Callithrix jacchus: one gene and its partners. The main gene of each other region encodes a partner of the protein of the gene in region 4 in a complex. Links are inferred from orthologs where the notes say so. Each region holds a gene or a part of one and is shown on either strand. Other genes may lie near its edges.

Evidence for each region.
Region 1: the proteins of KLHL12 (region 4) and PLEKHA4 are in contact, whole or in part, in a crystal structure (PDB 8OIO), measured with the Homo sapiens proteins. The link is inferred for Callithrix jacchus from reciprocal best matches to the Homo sapiens genes KLHL12 and PLEKHA4. Residues at the interface, in NP_067646.1 of Homo sapiens: Phe289, Arg320, Glu417, Tyr434, Ile439, Phe481, His486, Cys511, Tyr512, Tyr528, Leu533, Cys558; in NP_065955.2 of Homo sapiens: Pro177, Gly178, Gly179, Pro180.
Region 2: KLHL12 (region 4) and CUL3 share a complex: the UniProt entries of both Homo sapiens proteins name them as parts of the BCR(KLHL12) E3 ubiquitin ligase complex. The link is inferred for Callithrix jacchus from reciprocal best matches to the Homo sapiens genes KLHL12 and CUL3.
Region 3: the proteins of KLHL12 (region 4) and PEF1 are in contact, whole or in part, in a crystal structure (PDB 8RBH), measured with the Homo sapiens proteins. The link is inferred for Callithrix jacchus from reciprocal best matches to the Homo sapiens genes KLHL12 and PEF1. Residues at the interface, in NP_067646.1 of Homo sapiens: Phe289, Gln293, Arg320, Tyr321, Leu371, Glu417, Tyr434, Ile439, Phe481, His486, Cys511, Tyr512, Tyr528, Leu533, Cys558; in NP_036524.1 of Homo sapiens: Gly15, Gln16, Ala17, Pro18, Gly19, Ala20, Pro21, Pro22.

The regions. Positions count from the first base shown.
Region 1 is NC_133523.1:42,689,395-42,696,139, reverse strand, and holds part of PLEKHA4 (pleckstrin homology domain-containing family A member 4), read left to right. Parts: intron 1-421; coding exon 422-520; intron 521-1,450; coding exon 1,451-1,591; intron 1,592-3,071; coding exon 3,072-3,171; intron 3,172-3,241; coding exon 3,242-3,318; intron 3,319-6,745. UniProt on the Homo sapiens protein: Binds specifically to phosphatidylinositol 3-phosphate (PtdIns3P), but not to other phosphoinositides.
Region 2 is NC_133507.1:146,310,072-146,317,252, reverse strand, and holds the start of CUL3 (cullin-3), read left to right. Parts: upstream 1-2,575; 5' UTR 2,576-2,891; coding exon 2,892-2,957; intron 2,958-7,181. UniProt on the Homo sapiens protein: Core component of multiple cullin-RING-based BCR (BTB-CUL3-RBX1) E3 ubiquitin-protein ligase complexes which mediate the ubiquitination and subsequent proteasomal degradation of target proteins.
Region 3 is NC_133508.1:68,254,845-68,262,137, forward strand, and holds the start of PEF1 (peflin), read right to left. Parts: upstream 4,460-7,293; 5' UTR 4,448-4,459; coding exon of another isoform or gene 4,424-4,447; 5' UTR 4,249-4,423; coding exon 4,226-4,248; intron 3,943-4,225; coding exon 3,876-3,942; exon of another isoform or gene 3,804-3,875; intron 1-3,803. UniProt on the Homo sapiens protein: Calcium-binding protein that acts as an adapter that bridges unrelated proteins or stabilizes weak protein-protein complexes in response to calcium.
Region 4 is NC_133520.1:29,967,613-29,974,972, forward strand, and holds the start of KLHL12 (kelch-like protein 12), read right to left. Parts: upstream 3,951-7,360; coding exon 3,777-3,950; intron 2,301-3,776; exon of another isoform or gene 1,741-2,300; coding exon of another isoform or gene 1,621-1,740; intron 1-1,620. Other genes in the region: transcription and mRNA export factor ENY2-like, read left to right, coding at 3,937-3,960. UniProt on the Homo sapiens protein: Substrate-specific adapter of a BCR (BTB-CUL3-RBX1) E3 ubiquitin ligase complex that acts as a negative regulator of Wnt signaling pathway and ER-Golgi transport.

The DNA of each region.
Region 1 (6,745 bases), on a different chromosome or scaffold from region 4:
TCACCATACCGGGCCAGGTGCTGTGGTCTTTTGACTGTCTAATGAATTCATTAGATCTGTAGACTCTGTTACCCATGAGAGTGCAGAAGTAATCCAGGGGATTCAGGGAATGCTGTTGTTTGTCTACACTAGCAGTGCGTTGGCACTGCAGAGTCTATACAGACTCTGGAGTTCCCTGACCATGTGCTAGGCACTGTTCTCAGCTCTCTTTTAATTTCTATTTGATAGTTACTATTATTGCCTCCATTTTACAGATAATTATAGTCCAAGCAAAGAGGCTCATGGGAATTGTAGTCCATATGCCCACAGGGCCCCAGGGACCAAGCTCCCTTACCTCCTCCTTAGCTGACAAACAATGGGGTGGGCAAAGATTTAGTGGGAGAGGGAACTAACCTGTGTCTCCCCCTTTATGCAACCTGAGGAGCGAGAGAGGGTTTGGGATACGTACAGTGGCCTGGAGCAGGAGCTGGGCACCTTAAGAGAGACCCTGGAGTATCTGCTGCACCTCGGTTCTCCCCAGGTAAATCCCTGCTTGGAGACCCCAAGACCCACCCCCAACTCCAGCTTCTGCCTGGAAATCCTTTCAGCATTTAATCTCCGCCCACAGAATCCAGGCTCCGCCCACAGAATCCAGGCCCCGCCCAGTTCACTCTCCGTCTCCTTTCTGTCCGTTCAATCTAAGCCCCTAATTTTAGTTAAGACCATGCCCTTTAGGTTTTTGTTTGTTTTTTGAGACAGAATTTTGCTCTGTCACCCAGGCTGGAGTACAGTGGTGCCATCTCACCTCACTGTAACCTCCATCTCCCAGGTTCAGGTGATTCTCTCACCTCAGCCTCCTGAGTAGCTGGGATCACAGGCACGCACCACCACACCCAAGTAATTTTTTTGTATTTTTAATAGACATGGGGTTTCACCATGTTGGCCAGGCTGGTCTTGAACTTCTGACCTCAGGTGATCCACCTGGGCCTCCTAAAGTGTTGGGATTACAGGTGTGAGCCACCGCATCCCACCAAAAGGCAGTTTTTTCAATTATTTTTATTTATTTATTTATTTTGAGTTGGAGTTTCGCTCTTGTTACCCAGGCTGGAGTGCAATGGCGCAATCTCGGCTCACTGCAACTTCAGCCTCCTGAGTAGCTGGGATTACAGGCACATGCCACCAGGCCCAGCTAATTTTTTTGTATTTTTAGTAGAGACGGGGTTTCACCATGTTGACCAGGATGGTCTCGATCTCTTGACCTCGTGATCCACCCGCCTCGGCCTCCCAAAGATGCTGAGCCATCGCGCCCGGCCAGTTTTTTCAATTAAATTGGATAACCACTTGAAAAAAAAAAAAAATCCCAACTCCATCAATATAGCCCAGCTGACTTCAGGCCTTTGCAGGGGCCTGTTAGCTGAAACCCTCCTGCATTTTCCCGCCTTTAAGTGACAAATTCCTTTCCTCCCCACAGGACAGAGTGTCTGCTCAGCAGCAGCTGTGGATGGTGGAAGACACGCTGGCAGGTCTGGGTGGCCCCCAGAAACCGCCCCCACACACTGAGCCTGACTCCCCATCTCCCGTGCTCCAGGGTGAGGAGTCCTCAGAGAGGGAGGTAAGATGCACACAATTCTCTCCCCACCCCCAGCTTCCTGTCCCATCTGTCCTTGGCTTAGTCTATTCCCCTCCCACCTCTTTAATTCTTCCTTGATCAGTGAACCCACCTGACACAACTGTCCTAACCTGGAAGCCTTTGTTTTTTGGGGTTCTTTTTTGAGTCTCGCTCTGTCACCCAGGCTGGAGTGCTGTGGCATGGTCTCGGCTCACTGCAACCTCCGCCTCCTGGGTTCAAGTGATTCTCCTGCCTCAGCCTCCTGAGTAGCTGGTATTACAGGCGTAAGCCACCTCACCAGGCCTAATTTTTGTATTTTTAGTAGAAATGGGGTTTCACCATGTTGGCTAGGCTGGTCACGTACTCCCGGCCTCAAGTCATCCACCTGCCTCGGCCTCCCAAAGTGCTGGGATTACAGGTGTGAGTCACCACGCCCAACCAGGATTTTTTTAAAAAGACAAATCTCCAGAAAAAAATAAAATAAAGACAGATCTCACTCATTCTGTCGTCCAGGCTGGAGTGCAGTGATGTGATCATGGCTCACTGGAACTTAAGTGATCCTCCTGGGCTTAAGTGATCCTCTCACCTCAGTTTCCCAAGTAGCTAGGACACAGGTGTCTGCCACCATGCCAGGCTAATTCTTTGTTTTATAGAGACAGGGTCTCCCTATATTGTCCAGGCTGGTCTTGACCTCCTGGTTTCAAGTGATCCTCCCACCTTGGCCTCGCAAAGTGCTGGGATTATAGATGTGAACCCGCTGTGCCCAGCCTAAAAAGTTTTTGTAGGGAAGGGGTCTCACCAGCTTGCCCAGGTGGTCTCTAGCTCGGCCTCAAGTGATCCTCCCACCTTGGCCTTTCGAAGCACTGAGATGACAAGTCTGAGCTTCTGTGCTCAGATCTGGTTTACAGTCTTAATCCTCTTCAGACTGTGTTCTAATTGCTAAATGCTTGAAACATGTTAATAATAATAATAATGATAACAGACGGTGCCGTGGCTCACGCCTGTAATCCCAGCACTTTGGGAGGCCAAGACAGATGGATCACCTAAAGTCAGGAGTTCGAGACCAGCCTGGCCAACATGGTAAAACCCCGTCTCTACTAACAATACAAAAATTAGCTGGATATGGTGGCGGGTGCCTGTAATCCCAGCTACTCGGGAAGCTGAGGCAGGAGAATCACTTGAACCTGGGAGGCGGAGGTTGCAGTGAGCCAAGATCATGCCACTGCACTCCAGCCTGGGTGACAAGAGCGAAACTCCGTCTCAAAAAAAAAATTGCCAGGCGTGGTGGAATATGCTTGTAATCCCAGCTATTCGGGAGGCTGAGGTAGGAGAATCACTTGAATCCGGGAGGCAGAGATTGCGGTGAGACAGGATTGCGCCATTGCACTCTAACCTGGGCGACAGAGCAAAACTCTGTCTCAAAATAATAATAATAATAATAATAACGACGACCATCATTATTCCCTTTTTCTTATCCCTGAAGAGCCTGCCTGAGTCCTTGGAACTGAGCTCCCCTCGGTCTCCTGAGACTGACTGGGGGCGGCCTCCTGGAGGTGACAAAGACCTCTCCAGCCCTCGCTTAGGTGAGCATCCTGGCCGGGTGGGAGTTTCTGGAAATTCCCACCCTCACCAAGTCCCACTCTGTATTTGTAGGTCCTGGGTCTCCAAAGGTCTCCCGGGCTTCCAGCCCCGAGGGTCGCCACCTCCCTTCCCCACAGCTGGGAACCAAGGTAGGCTATAGATCCATCCTGTAATCCTTGCCTCTGACCATCAGGGACCCCCACACTTCTGGGGAAACAGCTAGGAGTAGGGTTCTAAGGCCACACTCAGAACAGAGGGAACACTGCTTGTTAAGAGCACTGAGATTAAATTTTGTCTCTGCTGCTTCTAAACTGTGTGACTTCGGGTCAGTTATTAAATCTCTCTGTGACTCCATTTTTTCATCTGTAAAATGGGGCTACTAGCAGAACCTACCATCCAGGGCTGACATGAGGATGAAAACTAGATGTATGAGGCCAGGTGTGGTGGCTCATGCCTGTAATCCCAGCACTTTGGGAGGCCAAGACAGATGGATCACCTAAAGTCAGGAGTTCGAGACCAGCCTGGCCAACTTGGTGAAACCACACCTCTACTAAAAATACAAAAATTAGCCAGGGGCAGTGGCGTGTGCCTGTAATCCCGGTTACTCAGGAGGCTGAGGCAGGAGAACCACTTAAACCTGGGAGGCGGAGGTTGTAGTGAGCCTGGATCATACCATTGGAGTGGTGTGATCACTGTACTCCAGCCTAGGCAACAGAGCGAGACTCTGTCTCAAAAAAAAAGGCCGGAAGTGGTGGTTTACACCTATAATCCCAGCACTTTGAGAGGCCGAGGAGGGTAGATCACCTGAGGTCAGGAGTTCAAGATCATCCTGGCCAAGATGGTGAAACCCCGTCTCTACTAAAAATACAAAAATTAGCCAATGTGGTGGCGCATGCCTGTTAATCCCAGTTACTCGGGAGGCTGAGGTAGGAGAATCACTTGAATACAGGAGGTGGAGGTTGCAGTGAGCCAAGATCTTGCCATTGCACTCCAGCCTGTGCAACAAGAGCAAAACTCCATCTCAAAACAATAACAAGAGCAACAACAAAAAGATATACTCCCTGAGTGGGGCAGAGAGCTGATCTCATGTGGTCCTGAAGTTCAGAAATAGGTGGACTTCCAGTAGCAGGAATGTTTAGGAATTGGTTGATATTAATCTGTGGAGGCTCTGTGTCTGCTGCTGATTGGCTGGTTTTCAGAAGCATGGAATTATCACTGATTGGCTGATTTTCAGAAGGACAGATCCATCACTGATTGGCCAGCCTTCAGAAGCATGTGACTGTCACTGATTGGCTGATTTTCAGAAGCACAGATCCATCACTGATTGGCTGGCTTTCAGAAGCCTTTGGGGTACCTGTTGGGATTACTTGATAAAATAGATTTAAAAGCATTTCTTGGGGCTGGGAATGGTGGATCACTCCTGTAATCCCAGCACTCTGGGAGGCTGAAGCAGGCAGATTACCTGAGGTCAGGAGTTTGAGACCAGCCTAGCCAACATAGTGAAACCCTGTCACTACAAAAATACAAAAATTAGCCAGGTGTGATGGCGGGTGCCTGTAATCCCAGCTACTCAGGGGGCTGAGGCAGGAGAATCACTTGAACCCAGGAGGCAGAGGTGGCAGTGAGCCAAGATTGCACCACTACACTCCAGCCTGGGCGACGGAGCGAGACTCTGACTCAAAAAATAATAACGATAATGAAATACATAAATAAAAGGATTTCTCGGCCGGTGGTGTCGGTTCATGCCTGTAATCCCAACACTTTGGGAGGCCAAGGTGGGTTCATCAGTTGAGCCCAGGAGTTCAAGAGCAACCTGGCTAACATAGCAAGACCCATCTCTATAAAATAAATAGTAAAAAGGCCGGCTGGGCACGGTGGCTCGTGCCTGTAATCCCAGCACCTTGGGAGGTGGAGGCGGGTCAATCACCAGGTCAAGAGATCGAGACCATCCTGGTCAACATGGTGAAACCCCGTCTCTACTAAAAATACAAAAAATTAGCTGGGCATGGTGGCGCGTGCCTGTAATCCCAGCTACTCAGGAGGCTGAGGCAGGAGAATTGCCTGAACCCAGGAGGCGGAGGTTGCGGTGAGCCGAGATCGCGCCATTGCACTCCAGCCTGGGTAACAAGAGTGAAACTCCGTCTCAAAAAAAAATAATAATAAATAATAATAATAATAAAAAGTTAGCTGTGGCCGGGTACAGTGGCTCACGCCTGTAACCCCAGCACTTTGGGAGGCCGAGGCGGGTGGATCACCTGAGGTCAGGAGTTCAAGATCAGCCTGGCCGACATGGCAAAAACCCATCTCTACTAAAAATACAAAAATTAGCTAAGTGTGGTGGCACACACCTGTAATCCCAGCTATTTGGGAGGCTGAGACAGGAGAATCGCTTGAACCTGCTGGGTGCCAGAAGTTGCAGTGAACCAAGACCATGCCATTGCACTCCAGCCTGGGCGACAGAGCAAGACTTTGTCTCAAAAAAATAATAAAATAAAAAGTTAGCTATATGTTGTGGTGCTACTTGGGAGGTTGAGGCGTGAGGATTGCTTGAGTCCAGAAGGTCAAGGCTGCAGTGAGCCATGATCGCACCACTGCACCTCTAGCCTGGGCAGCAGAGGGAAACCGTGTTTCAAAAAAAAAAAAAAATGTATTTCTGGTGCTTACTTGTCATCATGGATACAAAAGCAATCAAGACTTTCCTAGGAAGAGAGGAGGGGCACATTTTGATTCTCAGTGGTATGAGTCATGGGCTGGATGATGGGAGCCTTCTGGAAACATCACGTATCTTGGGACATGCTCCTCCCTCACCCCAGCACCATGGTTTCAGGGGCTGCCAAGGTCCAGAGCACACAGGTGGTCTAGTGAGTTCCAGAAGTTTCAGGGCTGAGCAAAGAAAAACCTATGACCGCCAGATGACAGTGGCACACAGGAGCTTTATTTGGTGGACACTGACAGATTTGTCTATGGGGGAAGTCACACCCAGTGTGAGACCCTCCAAAGGCTACTGTGTGAGGGTGAGGACCACTGCACAGGAGGAAAGGGAAGGGAGCTCCCAAGAGAGGGACCGGAGAAGGGCCTTATCTTTTTTTTTTTTGAGACAGAGTCACCTTGTCATCAGGCTGGAGTGCAGTGGCCCAACCTCAGGTCACTGCAGCCTCTGTCTCCCGGGTTCAAGGCGATTCTCTGCTTCAGTCTCTCGAGTAGCTGGGACTACAGGCGCATGCCACCAGGCCCAGCTTATTTTTGTATTTTTAGTAGAGATGACGGGGTGGTGGAGGAAAAAAAAAGTAGAGACGGGGTTTCACTGTGTTAGCCAGGATGGTCTCAATCTCCTGACCTCATGATCCGCCCTCCTCGGCCTCCCAAAGTGCTGGGATTACAGGTGTGAGCCACCGCGCCCGGCCTTCTTTTTTCTTTAGATACAGGGTCTTGCTCTATCCCCCAGAGTGGAGTGCAGTGGCACAATCATAACTCACTGAAGCCTTGAACTCCTGGGCTTAAGTGATCCCCTTGCCTCAGCCTCTTGAGTAGCTGACATGAGTGCACCACCACATCTAACAAGTTTTTTTTTTTGTA
Region 2 (7,181 bases), on a different chromosome or scaffold from region 4:
TACTATATGCTTTACAATTAAGTAGAAATATACCTTAATGTAGTGAGTTCCTAAATGCTGGCCTGTGACGTCTCCTTAAGTTCAGAGTGAAATGAGAAAAATCAGTGTGATGCATTGTTCATCCTGAGGCTGGTAAATTCAAGAAACTGTCATTTATTCAAAAATGGATCTTCCCCATTTCTGAGGTTAAAATACATTTTAATAAATGATGGGGATAGTCTATGCTAATTGTTCCCTTTTAATGCCCTTGCCAATATAAAGTCAAACCTATATTGACTCCCTAGCTTATCAGAAAATATTTTAGTGGACTGAGATCCAAATGTCAGTGACTGGCTTAGTTTCAAAATACGATTTATTTTATAAAAGCATACAAGTGTTTTTTTAAAAGAAACCTACCTATTGAATAAAGGAAGTAGTATAACCTTGGCTTTAACGCCCATGTTAGTAACAGCCAACAGGTGGCAAGTGGCTGCTCTCAGGGCACTGAGAGCAATGCCCAACTCTCAGGGCTTCTAAAATGTATTCACTTATTCAAATTTCATAGTAGCCCAAGGAGGAAGTACTGTTATTGTCTCCATTTTACAGATGAGGAACTCTAGGCATTGTCAACTCCATGTCCCAAAAGACACATAACACAGCTAGTAAAGTGGCAGAATTGGGATTCAAACAATGGCTCCAAGAACATATATATATTTTTTAATATATATTTTTAAATTTCTTTTTTTTTTGCCAAGAAGGCTGAGATTACCGTGAGCAGAGATCACACCACTGTTAAATTTCTTTTTATGGTTCCTCAGAGATCGCTGTTCTGAACATATATTCTTACAGTAAAAGAAACTGGGCCATAAGAGTACAACCAACAGGAAAACATTGTTATTATATTCTAATATTATGGAAATGAAGGTTCAATTAGCATACAGATTATAAACTCCAATACAGACATTATCTTATACTGAAGTCAGAGCCCCTCCCAATCTTTGTTTATTAACTCAATTCTTGATAACCTATTTTTAGCTTCAGTATTTACAGATATTATCTTAAGCAATATCCTTGTTTCTTAAGCTCTTGCTTTAATTAGACAATACCAAAAAACTCCCACAAAAAAAAAAAAAAAAAGAAAATATGGTATTTGCAATGGGGCGTTTCAACCGAGTAGGGGATTTAAGCGCAATAACTCATAAGCTTACTAATTAGAGTTAATTTAGGGCAAATTCAACCTTACAGTCAACAAATGTGTATTTCACTTTATATTAAGTTTGCTATTTAAAAGTATTACAATTTCAGCTTCTAAATGTACATATCTATCCCTAAAACAGCTGTTTCTTTAAAACAGGAAGATGACAAACTTTAGTAGGCACTCACATACTCCCTTGCAGAGTCAGAAACCCAAACATAACAGCACTTGGGCAAGTAGGTAAATGAGGAAGTACAGTTCATAATAAATGGACAGCAAAACCATGAGTCAGATTAGACATTTTGAATATAAAATGATCAAACCCCTCTCCCCCAAAACCCAAAACTTTTCAAATATACAGCAACTGTATCAGACAGTAATTTTGGCTTTAAAAACCTACAGTACTCTTGGTAATAGTAGAAATGACTCATCTGGTTGGTTAAAGTTAGGTTTCTATCATTCCATTTAACATCATTTACCAAATGCTGCATTTCATTAATGGAGCTGTTATTTTTTTCTGATAGTAATGAAAAACAGGTTTTAACATTAATAAGCCCGGGGTCCACCAGAAAATATCAGTGAATCAAGAGGTCCCGAAGCTTTTGCAGTTTAAGGGAACTTTGTAGATTAAATTTCCACCCTCCAGTCCTGAGAGCTGTTGTGTGGACACCCAGTCCGAATACCTTGTTGAGCATACAGGACAGTAATTTCCGATCATGCAGGTAACTCCTGCACAAACTCTTCGTTCTAGTTGCTGGCTTCTGCTCAAGTACCCATCCCTAGTCCATATGCCCTAGAAAAACATAGGAACCAGTTCGGGACGTAGTTATCCATCTAGCACCCCACGCTCCTCCTCAAGACTAAATCTTGCCCCAGCCCAGTAAGGCCCAGCCCACTACAATCCTGCTCCTGCTCTCCAAACTTCCCCCGCCCACTCCCCCCACGTGACCAGGAACCCCCCTCCCCCCCAACCCCACTTGAAGTTCCACCAATCAGCAACCACCTCCGCCCAGAACCGGGGACCTGGCGCTCCTCTTTCAAAAGGCAGCTTAAACCTCCCGCTCTTAGCCACGCCCTCTTTTCGCTACCCCGCCCCGCCGGCCCCTACCACTCCCCCCAACTCCCCATTCCCCTCCTCCCCTCTGGTGGCGTCCTCCCGCTCCCGGGTTTCGCCCCGCCCCACAAGGAGTAGCGCGCTCGCCCTCTTCTCGCGAGATCTGAGCGTCCCCGCCGCGGCCGCCCGCTTCCCCCTCCCGTCCTCCCACCTCCCTCCCCCCGCATCTCTCACTCTCCGGCTCTCCTCCCTCCCTCCTCCCCCCTCCACCCTCTGGGCCGGATCTCGTCTCGCTCAGGCGGAGGAGGAGAAGGAGGAGGAGGAGGACGACGTTCGGCCTGCGCAGTGAGATGTTTGTCCGTCGCCGCCGCCGCCGCCATCGCGGAGGAGCGCGATAAAGGGAGCGAAGCCGGGCCTGAGGGGGACCCCGTGGAGCAGCCGCGCCAGCGCAGCCCCCCAGCCGCGTCGGAGCCGCCGGAGCCCGAGCCGCCGCCGTCCCCGCCGCCGCCGCGGCTGCTCAGGGGCCGGCCAGCTCCCTAGCCCTGCCCGGGTCCGCTCCGCCACCGCCCCCAGCGTCGCCCCTCGCCTGCCCGCCCGCCTTAAATGTGACACCGGCGCCGCGGAGCGCGACCTGAAGCCGCCGCCGGGTAGGGGACGAGCACCATGTCGAATCTGAGCAAAGGCACGGGCAGCCGGAAGGACACCAAGATGCGGATCCGGGCCTTTCCGGTGAGTCTCTCCCCGGCGTCCGGGACCCCGGGGCCGGGGGCCGAGCCGAGAGCCGCACGCGAGGCCCGGGCTGAACTCCCCCAACAGGCCGCAGGCCCGGCCTCCCCTCCCCCACGCCCGCCGGCCGCGAGGCGCGAGCCTTCCCAGCAACCGGGCGGCGCGGGGCCCCGGCGCGGCCGCCCTCCCGGGCCGTTCCCCGCGCCGGGAGCCCGGGCCTGGCCCCGCGCCCCCGTCTGCGAGCTGCTTCTCCAGCCGCCTCGTGGGCGTTGGCTGCGGCCGGAGCCCCTCGGCCGCCCCACGCCTCCCCACGTTGCCGGGGTGTAGGGCCAGTCTCCGGCTTTGCTGGCTGCGGCGGAGTCCTCCCTGTGTGGGGCATGTGTGCAACTTTTCACGTGGGGTTTCGCTGCACTTTCCAAAATAACCCAGTCTAGCTTTTAGGGTGATGAAAGGGCTGCCCTCTCTGTCCCCCTCCCCAGGAAGGGCTCTGCCCTCAACTTGCCTCCGACGCAGTGACAGTGGTTGCACGGAATGCTCTGTGATCATAAACTAGTAACATGGGGTGTATTTCATCCCGCAAGCCTCCTAAGCACTTTACAAACTCTTGTGCAGGATTGCCTCGCCACTCCGAGGAAGGCCGGGGGAAAGCCACAGGGAGCAAACCGGGCAATTGGTTCTCCATTTCTCAGCCTTGGGAGCCCAAAGAATGAGCTTAGTCGCCTTGTGGAGTTGCTTTCTTTCATCGGTTTCAGTGACAGCAAACGCGTTCTGCTCAGAAACTTACTTTTTTGGCATTAGGTTGAGTCGTACCCTTTCAGTGTTTAGGACATAGGGTATAACTTTGGGTGTCATATCTGATTCAGATACCTGATGGCAAGCAATTAAAATGTACTCTTGTTAACAAACTGGACATACTTGCCCATGTTGCTACAATAAAAGGCATACATCAAGACAGACCAACTAGCAATCGGACAGAAGATTTTAAAAAGTAAAATTAGAGAAAGATCTTGGTCTTCCCGTCTTAGATTCGCAAATACTTCATATGATGTGCAGGCATAAGAGAGGGATTTATTGTCACTTTTTAAAGCATGCTTTTCCTGAAGTGCCCTTGTAGTGGGGAAAAGACTTGTTATCTAAATATGATTGCCCCAGTTGAGTCAAGTAATTTAGTCCCAGAGAACCTGAGGACCTCTGAATTCCTAAAATTGAAAAGGATACACCTGATGTAGAATTCTGAAATGCAAGAACATTAATACTAAAGTCAGTGTGAGGAAGCTTCTGCTTTCTGTAAATAGGTACGATGTATTTGGGAGAATTAAGTGTTTTTGATAATAAAGGCTTTTTGAATGTTTCAAACTTTTTTCTAAGTAAACGTGAGAAATTACATCAGGAAGTCAGCAGTGTTGACAGAGTACTAACGAAGTTCACTAGTATGTTTTCCTTTATAATTGGGCAAAGAGCTGGCTTTATGAATTTGTGAGTAATATTAATAATTTTCCTGCTAAATTCTGACCATTTTAAAGTAGAGTTTAGAATTTAGAATTTTATGAAGTTAATAGTTTTGTACAACAGATTTTCTAGGAGTGTTTGCGGTCCTACACTCCTCATTCTTGAATTCGAAAGTTCTAAAGATTTTTTTCTAAAACGTGGAGTAACTCACATTTGACATCGACTCACTCAGGTTAATGGCCTTCTGATTGACCAGTTGTACTTCCATCTGTGTTTAATCAAACTCTTTGATGTCTACAGGTTTCCCTGATCTTACCTGTTTTGCCATCATTTCATTTGTTCAACAAATACTGAATATTATGTGCCAGGCGGTCTTGTGAGGGTTTGTCAGTATAGCTAAAAAGACCAAGATCCCTGCCTTCTGGAGCTAGTATTGTTGAGGAGAAGAGATGGGAGAGAATTTCATATTCCTTTAGCTGACCAGTATAATAAAATTGTGTGATAGCTTACCACGTAGTACTGGAACTGAATTTTTTTTTTTTTTTTAGCTTCGTTTATGGTTATGAGCTAATTTGGGCCTATTCTGTCTATAACTTCTCTTTCAGGTTATATGTAAGTGACTAGTTTTGATATTCAGTAGTTAATAGCTGTTGATTTCTAAAATTTTTCATTACTGTTTAATAAGTATTAATAACATTCATAAGTGGTTCCCATTGAAAATAACAATTCTAGTTTGGCCGGGCGTCTGTGGCTCACGTCTGTAATCCCAGCATTTGGGGAGGCCGAAGCAGGCAGATCATGAAGTCAGGAGATCGAGACCATCCTGACCAACACGGTGAAATCCCATCTCTACTAAAATACAAAAAATTAGCCGGGCATGGTGGTGGGTGCCTATAGTCCTAGCTACTGGGGAGGCTGAGGCAGGAGAATTGCTTGAACCCAGGAGGCAGAGGTGGTGCCATTGCACTCTAGGCAACAAGAGTTAAACTCTGTCAAAAAAAAAAAAAAATTATAGTTTGAGACTTGGTTACAGATAGCTATATATCTCAGTGGTATGGTATTTCATAGATTTATCTTGTTAACCATGTGCTTGTAGACCTTCAAAATTCCAGTCTTCCAGATTGGCAGTTTTATACATAACTGCAGACTGCATGAGTTGATGGTCAAAAGTAGTTAATGCATAGTATTACATAAAGAAAAAATATGGCCAGGCAGGTGAATCACCTGAGGTCAGATGTCTGAGACCAGCCTGGCCAACATGGTGAAGTCTCGTCTCTACTGAAAATACAAAAAAAGTGGGGCCTGGTGGTGGATACCTGTAGTCCCAGTTACTCGGGAGGCTGAGGTTGGAGAATCGCTTGAATCTGGGAGGCGGAGGTTGCAGTGAGCTGAGATCACACCATTGCACTCTAGCCTGGGCAACACAGATCAAGCCATAGCACTCCAGCTTGGGCAACAAAAGTGAAACTGTCTCAAAAAAAAAAAAAAAGAAATATTGTTTATGGTTATACATAGGTACATCGTTGTTTATGGTTACACATATGTACATATTTAAAAATTATTGTATTTTACATCTGTTATTTGGATATATAGCTACTGTAATTTAAGAGAAATTATAGTTTCACCGAAAGTCCAGGCATAGTGGCTCACACCTGTAATCCCAGCACTTTGGGAGGGTGAGGTGGGCAGATCACCTGAGGTTAGGAGTTGGAGACCAGTCTGCCCAACATGCAAACCCCTGCCTCTGCTAAAAATACAAACATTTGCCAGGGGTGGTAACATGCACCTGTAATCCCAGCTACTTGGGAGGCTAAGGCATGAGAATCACTTGCACCCGGGAGGCAGAGGTTGCAGTGAGCTGAGGTGGTGACACCAGCCTGGGTGACAGAGCAAGACTTGTCTCAGGAAAAAAAAAAATTGTATATGTTTAAGGTGGACAACATGAGGTTTTGATAATTGTATACATTGTGAAATGATTACTACCATGAAGCTAACTTATAATCACCTCATAAATACTTGTTTTTTTTTAATGTCTGTGTGATGAAAACAATTAATGTCTACTGTCCTAGCAACTTTCAAATATACAATATAGTATTATTAACTATTCTTACAGTGCTGCACATATGATCTCCACAATTTATTCATCTTACAGCTTGTACCCTTTGACCAAAATCTACCCCCCAACTCCCCCAACCCCCGTTTCTCTCATTCCCCAGCCTGGACCACAGAGCGAGACTCTCCTGAGTCTCAGGTGCATTTCAGACTGTTTTACAAAATTGACTTGTAAAAAAGTGTAGAATTATGTTTTGAGATTGTTTTCATTGCAAAATAGAGTGGTAATTGAACTTATAGAATATTTTACAGATGCATAATATTATTCCAGATAAATTTTCAAAAGTAAAATCAGATTCTTTGTAGTGTTTTGAGTGCATTTTTTTCTTTTTCAAGACAGAGTCTTGCTCTGTCACCCAGGCTGGAGTGCAGTGGCATAATCTCAGCTCACGGCAGCCTCCACCTCCAGGTTTCAAGCGATTCTTACACCTCAGCCTCCTGAGTAGCTGGGACTACAGGTTTGCGCCACCATATCTGGTTAATTTTTGTATTTTAAGTAGTGACGGCATTTTGCCATATTGGCGGGGCTAGTCTTGAACTCCTGACCTCAGGTGATCTGCCCACCACAGTCTCCCAGAGTGCTGGCTGGGATTACAGATATGAACCACCACACCCAGCCTTAGTGCATATTTTAAGTATACCCTCATCATTGTAGGAGTTCTAATA
Region 3 (7,293 bases), on a different chromosome or scaffold from region 4:
TACAAGCAGTAGGGAGCTTACCTCCTCCCAGATAATCCACTCAGAAAGTCCTGTATTTTTTTTTTTCCAAGTTCTGAGGACTCACTCTTCTACCCTCAAGACCCTTGTGAAGTTCAAAGGTATCAAAGGCTGTTCCAAGCTGTGCCCTGATGACAAACAGAGGAGGGACCATTGCAAAGACAGGTTTGCACCCCAGAACTACAAGTATCCACAGGAGGAGGTAGGAAGCCCAAACTAAGGGGTTAAACAATCACAAAACAAAAGGAATGGTTCAAGCATTCATCAACAGAGCCACTGGAAATAGGAGAGAAGCATGCAACCAATAAACAATGAGCAAGGTCTGTCCCCAGCCTTCAGTTACCACCTCTGTGCTCACACTTCCAAATCTTTCTGTCCAGCTTCATCACTCCCGAGCTACAGACCCACATATCCAGCAGCCTCCTGGACCTTCCCTCCAAACCTACGCCTCCGTGTTCTCATCACAGTGAATGGAGCTCCATTCCGCCTCATGATCCAAACCTAAAGCCTTAGTGCCCTCCCGGGAGCCTCCTCTTTCCTCCCCTCTGTCACCTCACTTAGGCACCAGGTTTTCTCAACTCTACCTTCCGAGTGTTTCTCCTATCTTCTCTACCAGGTCACAGTTCTTGTTAACCTAGATTACCTCAATAGCTTCGAAACTGGTATACATGCCTCCTGTCTCTCCTGCTTCAGTCCATTCTCACAGCACCCCAAGGTCAACGCTCCAAAGCACAAATGGGACACAACACTTCTCTGGCTCCCTCACTACTCTCAGAATGAAGTCACACTCTCCAAAAAGGTATACAAGGCCCTTTGGGACCTGGCCCTTGCTTACCTTTCTAGTCTATTTCTTACCCCTTTCCCGCACATCACTACAACTACACTGAGCTTCTTCACGTCCCTACAGAATACTATGCGGTCTTACTTGCTTCCTGGGCTTTGTGCAGCTATTTCCTCTGCTGGAATCATTCCTTTCTTCACTGAGCTAATTTCTACCAGTGATTCAGTTTTTGGCTTAAATATCACCTCTTTAAAAAGTCTTGATGCACCCTAGACTGAGTTAGGTATCTCACTCTCCCATGCTGTCCTAGTACCTAACACTTACTCCCATTTCATACTTATCACATTGCCTCTTCAATCTACATAACTGCATTACTCCTCCACTTGGGAGTATTTTACATGCCCAACACCATACCAAGCACTTTAAAATACAAAAAATTAGCTGGGCGTGGTGGTGTCCCAGTTACTTGGGAGGCTGAGGCAGGAGCATCTCATGAACTTGGAAGGCAGAGGCTGCAGTGAGCCAAGATCGTGCCATTGCACTCCATCATGGGTGACAGAGGGAGATTCTGTCTCAAAAAAACAAACAAACAAAAAAAGTCTCAAAAAAAAATTAAAAGATAGAAATAAGAAAGAGAAGGAAAAACTGAGTCTCAGACTTTTGCAGCAAACTTCTGCAAGGGAGTGGCCAAAGCAGGGATTTGAAGCCAAATCTCCGTGGCCTCGGAGACTAAGCTCTTAAGCACTGAAATCCCCCAACAGGCTCCCCTATAGGACCCAAGGGTGCTTGAATTTTACCACTCCAACACTCAGTCCTGGCCTGGGTACCCTGGACTGGAATCAGTGGAAAATTACAGGAATTGGGACTCCTAACACCAGGCTGGAATCCTCCAAAGCTATGTAGTGGGTGGAGGGGAGGCAGCACTGACTGAAATGCTTTAAACAACCCGTTTCCTTTCTTAGAACACCTGAGACCAGGAGGCGGCCAAGGGTATGGTAGGAAAAAAAGCACCATTTCTTTTTCTATTCCAGATTCTTCTCTCTGTGCTCCTTTTCAGTATTTCACTCCAAGAATAGCCCAGGCAGCATGGCATGATGAGAGCAGTCACGGCAGCAGGAGCTGCCACCAGACACTGGCATGTACCAGGCACTAGCAACGTGAGAGGCTCCCTGCATTTCAACCTCATTTTAGCCCTTTTCATGGATATTATTTCTTCTTATAAAGGTGAGAAAGGCGAGGCTCAGAGCCCTTAGTTTGTCTAAGGGTATATAACTATTAAGTAATACAGCTAGAATTCTAGCACAGTTCTGTCTAACTTGTCATTGCTTTTAGAATGCAAACAAATTGTCCCTAATGCTTGTTAACATGTAGATTCCTGGGTACAGAACAGGTCTGAAGTGGGACCCAAAAGTGTGCTTTCTTAAACAAGGTCTCAGGTGATTCTGAGGCAGAAGACCAACAGCTGGGAAACAAGGCACTATGAATGTTTTCTCAGCCTGTGTTCCTCAGAAATACCAGAGTCACAAAAAGTGACCAGACATCTGAAAAGAAAGAGGGGACAGGGAGTTTCTGTGGTTAAACACGTTTAAGAAACACTGCATATTATATTCCTTTCTGGAAGATTTACAATGTACATTAGCAAATTAAAATTTCTGAGCTGGACACAGTGGCTCAAGCCTGTAATCCCAGCACTTTGGGAGGCCAAGGCAGGTGGATCACGAGGTCAAGAGACCAAGACCATCCTGGTCAACAAGGTGAAACCCCGTCTCTACTAAAAATACAAAAAATTAGCTGGGCATGGTGGCGCGTGCCTGTAATCCCAGCTACTCGGGAAGCTGAGGCAGAATTGCCTGAACCCAGGAGGCGGAGGTTGCGGTGAGCCGAGATCGTGGCATGCACTCCAGTCTGGGTAACAAGAGCGAAACTCTGTCTCAAAAAAAAAAAATTAGCCAGGCGTCATGGCGCACGCCTGTAGTCCTAGCTACTCTGGAGGCTGAGGTAGGAGAATCCCTTGAACCCAGGAGGTGGAAGTTGTGGTGGGCCGAGATGGTGCCACGGCACTCCAGCCTGAGCAACAAGGCAAAACTCCATCTCAAAAAAAGGGAATTTTGAAAATGACTTATGGTCAACATTATTCAGCTATACTTAACAAGAGTATTTCCAAAACTTTAGTTAACTACAGACTCCTCCTTTATTAACAATATCTATTAACAACTTACAAGACTCAGCAAGTGGAACGGAGTTTAGAACACAAAGGCTACGTTACACTTTCTCCTAACTCCAGCCTGCACTGGCCTCTCTTTCCTACCTCTCTCTAAGAATGCAATCAGAGAAGTCCTAAGCTCTGGTCATGGCCTCACCCTCACTTACTACATATGACCTTTGAAAAGCCACTTAATCTCTTTGGGTTTGTTCCTTAGCAATAAATTAGGGGTAATAATACCTGCATGCCAATAGGGCCTTCATGATTAGGATAATGGAGGTCCAAATACTGCATAACCTGTACAAGACTGTAATCCCTGGAAGGGCTGTTACATCTTTTAGCATGTGACTATACTCATTTGAGCATTATGTAATATACCAATAGATCTTGTTTTCCCACTTTTCCTGTATGGGTTTCATCTTCTAAATAACTGTGTGATGGCAGGCCTCTGTGGGCTTCATTTCCTCCTCTGTAAAATGAGGGGACTATTTTGAGGGCCCTCCAGGCACTGGCCTTTTAGAAGCCTAGGAAAATCAAAACGCTGAAGGGCAACACGTTACACCTTACTATATACCAAATGCTTCATAAGCCTCACCTCCTTACTCTCCACAACAGCTTTCTAAGGCAGCCCCTATTATTCGGCCCTATTTTACAGGAGGACACTTGGACTCGGAACGACAAAATATTCAAGGGCTCACAACTATTTAGGTGGTAGAGCCAAGATGTGAACCTACCTCTGACTCCAAACTGCACTTAAACACCCTACTAACACCCAACAAAGAATTCTGGCCACAGAGTCACCTTGCTGTGGTATTCCTGGCTGAATCAAGATGGGCTGGGGAAGAGGCATCTGAAGACAGCCCGGGTTCTGACCTCGGCCCTGCTGGCTAACTGCCTGGTGACTTCAGGTAAGTTCTGTATCTTCTCGGGGTTCACTTTCCTAAAAGCGAAATGGAGGTGTTGAACTAAGTCAGTGGTCAAACCAGCTCACTTGTGGCGCCTGCTACAACCAGAGTTTCCTGATGACTGTGATGCAGTGCTGGGGTGGGTCCGGAAGCCTGGAATTTTATCCGACACCCCAAATGAGATCGATGGAACCAGAACTCTAAACGTCCGGTCATGGCTGATGCCCCCGCCCAAGGCCCCCGTGGGAGCCTTAGGAGGCTGGGGTCCAAGGTCCCCAAATTTTCGCGTGAGCGACGTCAAAGGGGGCGCGACACGACCTGCTAAATGTGCGGTCCTTCATGACGTGAGCAGGGCGCGACCGACGGTCCCTTTTCAGTTCTCTACAGCGCGAAGCCTCGCTGAAGCGAACCCATTGTGAGAAGTGCGCAGAGAAAGCGGGCAGAAAGAAGCGGGGGTCGCCGGACCTGCGCGGGGCACGGCCCCTACCTGGATTCACGGTCCCCTCACACACTCACCTGCCGGTAGGGATAGCTGGCCATGGCGATTCTGACGTCACACGCAGGCAAGGGGTGGGGCTTTCCGCTCTCAAACCCGCCCCTCGCCTCGGCTTTGGGGCTGGGCCCGCATCTTACTGGACGTCCCAGCCTGTCAATCTTGAGTGCTGTCGGCCGACGGAAGTGACGATGGGGGTGGTGGGAGGGTGCCTACCCGAGAGATCAGGAGAGTTAAGTGCCTGATGGAGCTTCCGGAAGTTTTGGTGGCTGCACCGGCACTAGTGTTCCTCCTTTTCCTGATCTGGAGTGGGCCTAAGCGGTGGTTAGGTTCGGATATTTAGTGAAAAGCCTGGGTGGGGTGTTGCTGTGGTAGCCATGTTATAACCTGGCAAATGGGACGCATGATAGTGACGTACAAGGGCGTCTCTCCCGAGTTTCCGCAAAGGAGAGCAGCCAGTGGGGGGAGGAGAGGAGAGGCGGTGGCCAGGCGGTTGCCCTGACAACGGGGAAACGACCGAGTCCTTCCGGAAGGGAGAGGCAATGGCGGAATTACTCCTCTAATGTCAAGACACTGGGTACCAGTTAGTAGCCTTATAGTGGGATACAGATCTGTGCTCTTTGGAGGAAAAAAATCCCAGACCGTTAGAGTTGGAGGAGAATTAAATTATGTAGTGTCTCTTTCTTCATAAATGGGGAAACTGAGGTCCACAGAGGCAGTGTCTTGCCTTAGCTCACAGTGGATGGCCTAGAACTGGGGTCCATGGATGTCCGGTTCTCAACAGGGAAGTCTAGGTCGGTCCCCATTGTAGGTCAAATCCTGGTGACTGAGTGATCTCAGTACCATGTAATTGCCACTCAGTGGTTCCGTTTCTACACCTGTGTGCTTATTTTATTAATTTTTCAAGTTCTTCCATGTGGGCAAGGGTTTTTGCTTGTCATTATTACCCCAGAACCTAGTACAGTAACTGACACGATTTTTAAAATAAAATGAATAAATGAATGTTATGAAGTGTTATCCAGTGTGGGCCCATCTATCTAACCAAGTGCACTTTCCAAAATCATGGGCAAGTGGCATCTGATCATGGATGCTCTTCATCCACGCCTACAAAATAAGGCCAAATCTTTTCATCCTGGCACTCCAGGCCCTTCAGAATGTGGCCCAGCCTTACCTTTCCAATGTTCTGCTACTCTGTATTCCTGTGCTCAGTGTCACCATTCAGCACTTCTGCTTTGGAGGGAGAATGTTTGTTTCATCACTTTCTAACTGTATCACCTTAGGGAAGATTTCTTTTTTTTTTTTATTTCCAGCTTTTAAGATCCGGATATATGTGCAGGATGTGGTTTGTGACATAGGTAAATGTGTGCCAGGGTGGTTTGTTACACAGATCATCCCATCACCTAGGTATTAAGCCCAGCATCCATTAGCCATTCTTCCTGATGTTCTCCCTCCTCCCACCTCCCCACACCCTCTGACAGGCCCCAGTGCGTGTCTATGTGTTCTCCTTATTCAGCTCCCACTTGTAAGTGAGAACATGCAGTGTTTGGTTTTCTGTTTCTGTATTAGTTTGCTGAGGATAATGGCTTCCAATTCCATCCATGTCCCTGCGTAGGACATGATCTTGTTCCTTTTTATGGCTACTTAGTATTCCATGGCATATATGTACCATATTTTACTTAGGCAAGTTATTTAACCTCTCTTAGTTTCAGTTTTCTTAGCTGACAGAAACAAATATGTAAATTTGAAAATTAGCTTATGGTGCCTGCTCATACCCCCAAACTTAGGTTCAAACCACTCCATTCACCTGGACCAGCAGCCCTCCCATCTCCAGTCCTGCAAGGCTCAGTTCCAATTCCATTCTCCACCTAACCTTCCCACATTCTCCTTAGCTCCAGAGTTAGCCACTCTCTCTTGCCACTCTCCCTTTGCACTTGGTACTGTCACTGTGCCATATTCCAGCCTACCTTGTATAGAAGTTTTCTTTTGATGTTTTCCTTAAAATCCATTGCTCTCCATCTCAGAAAATCCACCCAGTCTTTCAGGACAAAAACCTAAGATCATTCCTGTATGTCCTTTTTTTCTCCACACACTCCCCCACCTCTCTTATCTCCATATGCTGTGATTTAAAAATGTACACATCTGCACTCTTCTCCCTGTTCGCACTGTCACTGTAGTCCAAGACACTATCATCCATGCCTGGATCACTACACTAGCTGATTGACCAATGTTCCTGCTGTTATATGTAAATTCTCTTTTTTCTTTTCTTTCTTTTTTTTTTTTTTTTGAGAAAGAGTCTCACTCTGTTGCCCAGGTTGGAGTGCAGTGGTGCAATCTCTGCTCACTGTAATCTCCACCTGCCAGACTCAAGCAATTCTCCTGCCTCAGCCTCCCAACTATCTGGGATTACAGGCACACACCACCCTGGCCAACTAATTTTTTTGTATTCCTAGCAGAGAGGGGGTTTCACCATATTGGCCAGGCTGGTCTCGAACTCCTGACCTCAGGCGATCCACCCACCTCAGCCTCCCAAAGTGCTGGGATTACAGGCTTGAGCCACTGCTCCCAGCCTGTTATATGTAAATTTTCAGTGCCACAAAAGAAGTAGCACTCAAATATAAATTTTCTCAACAAGGCAATTTACTTCTATAGAAGGGTGTATCTTACAGATGGAGCAATGGCAAGCGCACACCTAAATACCTGAGTCAGGAGTTCTTATCCCTGACTCAGGTAGTCCCTATTGCTGTGTCATTGCCCTAGTGGCTAGGGTTGAACTGCAAAGTTTAAGCTAATTCCGATTGGCTATTTTAAAGAGAGCAGGGGTATGAACCAGAGTGGTGGGGTGAGCAGTTTGGTGGGAAAAACAATTATAGAACAGGTAACTAAAGGTAACTCA
Region 4 (7,360 bases):
AAAACTAGGGAAACAACATATTTATTAGCTTTACAAATTGAGAATCTAAGGGGCTTCCTCAGACTCAAACATATACAAGTAGAAGGCACTCCTATACCTGACATAACCACCACTATCTAGCTACTATCTAGTCCATGTAAAAGTTCTCTCTTCTTCCTCCGAATTCCTCTATCATGGAGTGTCCCTACCACTTGACATTTATTATGATGAACGCTGAAATGTAAGTAAACAATCTATGTCCTGTAAATCTTCACAAGGTTCTTGTGTCAAATGATACAATGAAAATATAGGCCGGGTGCAGTGGCTCACGCCTGTAATCCCAGCACTTTGGGAGGCAGAGGCGGACGCATCACGAGGTCAGATCAAGACCAACCTGGCCAATGTGGTGAAACCCCATCTCTACTAAAAATACCAAAAAATTAGCTGGGCATGGTGGCACACACCTGTAAGGCAGGAGAATTGCTTGAACCCAGGAGGCAGAGACTGCAGTGAGCCAAGATTGCACCACTGCACTACAGCCTGGGCAACAGTATGCGACTCTGTCCCAAAAAAAATAATAATAAAATAAAATATAAAATTCCTTAAAGGTATTATATCATTACTATTTAATATCCATAAGTAGATAAGCATTTAGAGGGTGAAGATCCTGCTTTATATGTATGCTTTCTATCCTAGAAGTTGCACAATAAATGCTTAGAATTGAATGCAAAAAAAAAAAGTGTGTATTCAACTTAGAGCAAGAAAGTTCGGTAAAAATGTACTTTTCTAAAGTATGCAAATAATTACGTCTGATGACTTCCAAATATATCTGGATTTCTTCTTAAAGTGAAACTTCAGGCCCAGCCCAGTAGCTCACGCCTGTAATCCCAGGACTTTAGGAAGCTGAGGTGGGCATATCAGTTGAGGTCAGGAGTTCGAGATCAGCCTGACCAACATGATGAAACCCTGTCTCTACTAAAAACACAAAAATTAGCCGGGTGTGGTGGCACATGCCTGTAATCCTAGCTACTGGGAAGGCTGAGGCACGAGAATTGCTTGAACCCAGGAGGCAGTTGAGAATTGCTCCATCGAGTGAGCCTAGATCATGCCACTGCACTCCAGCCTGGGCAACAGAGCGAGAATGCATCAGAAAAAAAATAAATAAATAAAAAATTAAAAACAGCAACAACAACAACAAAAAACCAATTGAGGACCCATTACCTACAATGAACTGTGGAAACCACCCAAGTGGACTTACTTGCTTAAGCTATTGAAGCTCTTCAACAAGAAGGTATTCCTACTCTACATCTGTAAATGTCAATTACTGTTAACGAATCAATATTGGAATCCAAAACTTTCTGAAATGATCCAAGGTTGGGAATCAAACGACGGTCTCTAAAAGTCCACAACTCACAATTTTTCAATAGGAAAAATGAGATCTTAAATTCTCATTTACTTATGTTTATAGTTGGCATTTTACACTACAAGCACCATAGATAATCCCTCCAACAACTCTGCAAGACCAATTTTACAGAAAAGCAGGTGATTCATCAAAGCATATGATGTTTTTCAAGAAGCCTTAAGTCAATTTAATTTCAACTCCAGGGGTGTAAAAAGGGTCCGAAACAAATGTCTATTTACCTTGATGACAATCTGGGAGGGAGGGGGGTTTGTCGTTTCCACATCAAAATGACAGTAACCCTGGTGCAAAGTGGTCTTCCTTCTTGGGGATTCCTGCCTCACCACTCCAAGTCTCAGCATATCCTTCACTCTCACCTTTCTGAAGTGACCTATTTTCTAGAACTTCCGTTAACATCTGAATAGAGGGATTCCACTTCGGGAGATTCGAGGCAGGGGAGGGGCAATACATTCGGGAAAGACTAAATTCTAGAGAAAGAAACGAAGTCCTTCCCCCTGACACCAGCAGGCATACATATGACCAGCACCGCCAGGTGGAGGTATGCGGAGAGATGAGAGGGCGACCGAGGCCAGACGCCCCACGCAGCCTTCCTCCTATCCAGGGCGAGCCTCCGATTCCCTTGCAGGGAGACCAAGGATGGGGGAAGGGCCATAACCCGGAGTTGATGGACAGGAAGGGAAAGACTGACTGCCATCACTTCCGCGCAACTCACCTCAGCTCCCGTGCCCACACAGCCGCGCCGGGCCTGTCCCCAGCCTGTGGGGATAGGGTGGGGCGCAGGGCCAGCAGGCGGCTCACAAGGAGCCGAAGCGCCGCCGCCGCCGCCCAGACCCGGAGGCTCCGGAGGCTCTGGAGCCTTCGGGTCTGGACCCCGCGGCCGCGCGACGTGATGACGCAATGCAGCGTGAGGACCGCCCTCCTCCCGCCGCAGAGTCCGCGTCACGTGATGAGGCGGTGTCACGTGACCTGCCTTATCGGGGGCGGGACTTCTGTAAACTGCTATGAAGCCGAATTAGAAAAAGGTCAGGTGGCCGGGGCGCGGTGGCTCACCCCTGTAATCCCGGCACTTTTGGGAGGCTGAGGCGAGCGGATTACCTGAGCTCAGGAGTTCCAGACCCGCCTGGGCAACACAGCAAAACCCCGTCTCCACCAAAAAATTTAAAAAAAAATTTAGTCCGGCGTGGTGGCCTGCGCCTGTAGTCCCAGCTACTCCGGAGGCTGAGGCAGGAGAATCCCTTGAACCCAGGCAGCAGAGGTTGCCGTGGGCCAGGATCGCCACTGTTATTCACGTCTAATAATACCGAAAATTAAATGCATTTAATATAGAGATTTTCCAAACAGGCTTTGTGTGGGCAACAAGGACATTTTATTTCTCGCTTGGGTGCAAGCGGACCGAATCTGAGAAAGGCGAAGAGAGTAAGGGTGGGAATTGGTTCTATAAGTTGGGGTAATTTTGGGGGGCGAGGGTGTTGCAGAGTAAGATCAGTTACAGTGGTCGGGGGTAGTGGCAAGGAGTATACATGACCACAAGTTCAGTTACAATGGCGGGTTGAGTAAGGCGGAAGAGCAGTTAAGATGGCAGGATGGGGCAAGGAGCATTCACATTATCATAAGAGCAGTTAAGATGGCAGGATGGGGTGAGAGGTATCCACATTTAACATAAGAACAGTTAAGATGGCAGGGTGGGGTGAGGGGCTTGTCCGGGGAAGCTCTGCTGGGCGATTAGGGACAATGGCCAACGCAGGCGGTGGGGTGGGAGACAATTAGCAGAGGCAGGCAGCAGGCAGGACTTCAGACGTTCTGGTTCCAGGCTTGCATATGGAGACCTGACAGCCACTGCACTCCAGCCTGGGCCACAGAATGAGACCCTGTCGGGGGCGGGGGGGGAGGCGGGGGGGGCGGGGGGAGGGCTGGCATAGTGGTCAGTCCTGTAATCCCAGAGGCCAAGGCAGGTGGATCACTGGAGGTCAGGAGTTCGAGACCAGCCTGGCCAACATGGTTAAACCCAGTTGCTACTAAAAATACAAAAACATTAGCCGGGCGTTCTGGTGTGCGAATGTAATCCCAACCACTCAGGAGGCTGAGGCAGCAGAACCACTGCACTCCAACCTGCGCGACAGAGTGAGACTCTCAAGAGAGAAAGAGAAAGAAAGAAAGGAAGGAGGGAGCGAGAGAGAGAAAGATAGAAGAAAGGAAAGATGGAAGGAAGGACGGACGGTTGGGTGGTGTGGGGTCCGCAGGAAGCCTGGGAATATAGCTCTACAGCTTGGCGATTGAATGAGCCTGAGACCCTCCCCACCGCTCAGGAGGCAGAGCAGACGGAGAGAATTCTAAGGCTTAATATGCTAAACATCTGAATGCAGGAAGTGCGTTTTACCTTCCAGGTACTGAGGAACTTTTTGCTATCGAGAAAACCCACGGAGGCCTCAAATTTCTTCCCTTCCATTGTCCACAATGACCTCTTGGGGCCGAACAACGCTGCGCAAGAATCCTCTGAGCCCTGCGATCCACAGACCTCGTATATACTTTGCGTCATAATGGGGCTTATCATCACCACTAAGGTGATTTTACTTCTTTCACTCCAAGACAATTAAGTGAAAGGAACTTGTGGCCACTACAAGGTGGACATTAAGAGGGAAATTGGAAAGAATCTTCTTAGGGAAATCTTAGACAGCCTTATCACCACTGTTACTCCCCTGCTGACATTTCACCAGGCTATGGTTGCTGAAGGTTAATTTAAGAAAGTTCGCTTCTAACTGATTTTGGTGCAGTTAGTGTCTGAAAAGGCAAAGAGGTTAATTGGTTCAACTTATCTGAATGTCTAGACAACAAATTGGTAATACTATTTTCTTCTGTGAGCCCCCTTTTTCTTTCTTTTTTTGAGATGGAGTCTCACTCTGTTGCCCAGGCTGGAATGCTGTGACATGATCTCAGCTCACTGCAACCTCTGCCTCCCGGGATCAAGCGATTCTCCGGCCTCAGCCCCGCCCCGCCAGGAACTGGGACTACAGGCACGCACTATCACGCCCAGCTAATTTTTGTATTTTTAGTAGAGACTGCGTTTTGCAATGTTGGCCAGGCTGCTCTTGAACTGCTGACCTCGTGATCCACCCTCCTCAGCCTCCCAAAGTGCTCGGATTACAGGGATGAGCCACAGCGCCCAGCCCTTTCATTCTTAAGGATACTAAAACCATAGCCAAGTGGGCAGCATTCTAAATTTACATTGCATCTCCATCTTCCATGTCGTGTTTTCCTTGTCTAAAACTGTCCCTGACTTCCACATTGTAGAGAAGAATGCAAGATTGTTATAAAATTTATTGGGGGCATTTTGGAAATATTTGTCAATTTTAATAAAATTATTCACATGCACATGTAAGACTACATATGTAAAAGATATGTACTACATATGTACAAACTGCAGCATTGTTTGTAGATTAGATTGACAACAACGTTAAATGTCCATTAGTAGGGGACCAATTCAATGAAATATAGTACATCCATAAAATCCAATACCATGAAGCTGTGAACAATCTGTATTCTCTATTATTGGGTAAAAAGGTGGAAGATCACGCCTGTAATCACGGCACTTTGGGAGGCTGAGGCGGGCGGATCACCTGAGGTCAGGAGTTTGAGACCAGCCTGACCGACATGGAGAAACCCCGTCTCTACTAAAAGTACAAAAGTAGCAGGGCATGGTGGCACACGCCTATAATCCCAGCTACTTGGGAGACTGAGGCAGGAGAATCGCTTGAACCCAGGAGGCAAAGGTTGTGGTGAGCCAAGATCATGCCATTGCACTCCATCCTGGGCAACAAGAGGGAAACTCATCCCCCCCACAAAAAATAAAACGTAGAAGATATATTCATATTTGCTTGTGTGTGTAAACTGTATTTGGAAAGACAAAATAAAGTGGTAACATTGGTTTCTTTGGGGAGAGGAACTGTTTGGCTGTGAGACAGGGTGGGAAGGAGAGTTTTGCCCTTTATAATTTTTGTTTGCCTTTTGAATTTTTCATCATGTGAATTATAAATAATGTTCAGAGCCTGGTGCAGTGGTGGGCACCTGTTGTCCTATCTGCTCTGGAGACTGAAGTGGGAAGATTGCTTGAGCCCCGAAGTTCGTGACCAGCCTGGGTGACATAGTAAGACCACGTCTCAAAATATATTTATATGTTCAAAAATTTTTTTTGAGACGGAGTCTCGCTGTGTCAGCCAGGCTGGAGTGCAGTGGCTCGATCTCAGCTCACTGCAACCTCCACCTCCCGGGTTCAAGCAATTCTCTGCCTCAGCCTCTCTAGTAGCTGGGACTACATGTGTGTGCCACCACGACTGGCTAATTATTTTTGTATTTTTAGTAGAAACGGAGTTTCAGCATATTGGGCAGGCTGCTCTAGAACTCCTGACCTTGTGATCTACCCTCCTCGGCCTCCCAAAGTGCTGAGATTACAAGCGTGAGCCACTGCGACCGGCCTTATATGTTCAATTAATTTTTTTATTTTTATATGTTCAATTTTTTAAATGGCAAAAATAGTCTTGGTCCAGTGGCTCATGCCTGTAATCCTAGCACTTTGGGAGGCCGAGGAGGGTGGATTACCTAAGGTCAGGAGGCCAAGACCAGCCTGGCCAACATGGCAAAACCCTGTCTCTACTAAAAATAAAAAAAGTAACTAGTCATGGTGGCACACACCTGCACTTCCAGCCACTTGGGAGGCGGAGGCTGAAGAATCGCTTGAATCTGTCAGGCAGAGGTCACAGGGAGCTGAGATCCCGCCACTGCACTCCAGCCTGGGCTACAGAGCAAGACACCATCTCGAATAAATAAATAAACAAAATAAAAATAAAAAGTAAAAATAATTCCTTGTTTTCAGAATGTAAAATAGTACTTTAATGATATTGCCTAATTCCTGACTGCTAAATTAAGGATTTTTCCAAATATGAGAAGGAACTTAATAAAACAGGCTTTGTTTAGAGTATGCCCACTCCTTTTATTCACAAAATGAAAGATGGAGAAGCCGTTAGCAAGAAAGTCACACCAACGGAACGAGTTCAGACATCTTTTTTCTTCTTTTTTTCTCTTCTTAATATTTGTGAGTACATAGTAGGTATATATATTTAGAGGGTACATGAGAGGTTTTGATACAGGCATGTAATGTGTACTAATCACATCATAGAAAACTGGGTATCCATCCACTTAAGAATTTATCGTTTGCATTACAAACAATCCAAGTATGCTTGTAGTTATTTTTAAATGTACAATTCAATTATTGTTGACTATACTCACTCTGTTCTATCAGACACCAGGTCTTATCCATCCTTTCTACTTTTTCGGTACCCATTACCCTCCCCACCTTCCCACAACCCCGACTGTTCTTCCCAGCCTCTGGTGATCATCCTTCTGCTCTCTATCTTCATCAGTTCAGTTAGTTTGTTTAGATCCCACAAATAAGTGAGAATATGCGATGTTTGTCTTTCTGTGCCTGACTTATTTCACTTAACATGATCTTCAGTTCCATCCATGTTGTTACAAATGATAGAATCTCACTATTTTTAATGACTGAATAGTACTCCATCAAGAATAAGTACCACATTTTCTTTATCTGTTCATCTGTTGATGGACACTTAGGTTGCTTCCAAATCTTAGCTATTGTGAACTGTGCTGCAACAAGCATGGATGAGAGTGCAGGTATCTCTACAATACACTGATTTACTTTCTTCTCCTTTTTTTTTTTTTTTTGAGACACAGTCTTGCTGTGTCACCCAGGTTGGAGTGCAGTGGTGTGATCTTGGCTCACTGCAACCGTCCCCTCTCCAGTTCAAGTGATTCTTCTATCTCAGCCTACTGAGTAATTAATTGGGACTACAGGTGCATGCCACCATGCCTGGCTAATTTTTGTAGTTTTAGTAGAGATCAGGTTTCACCATGTTGGCCGGGCTGGTCTCTAACTCCTGACCTTGTGATCCG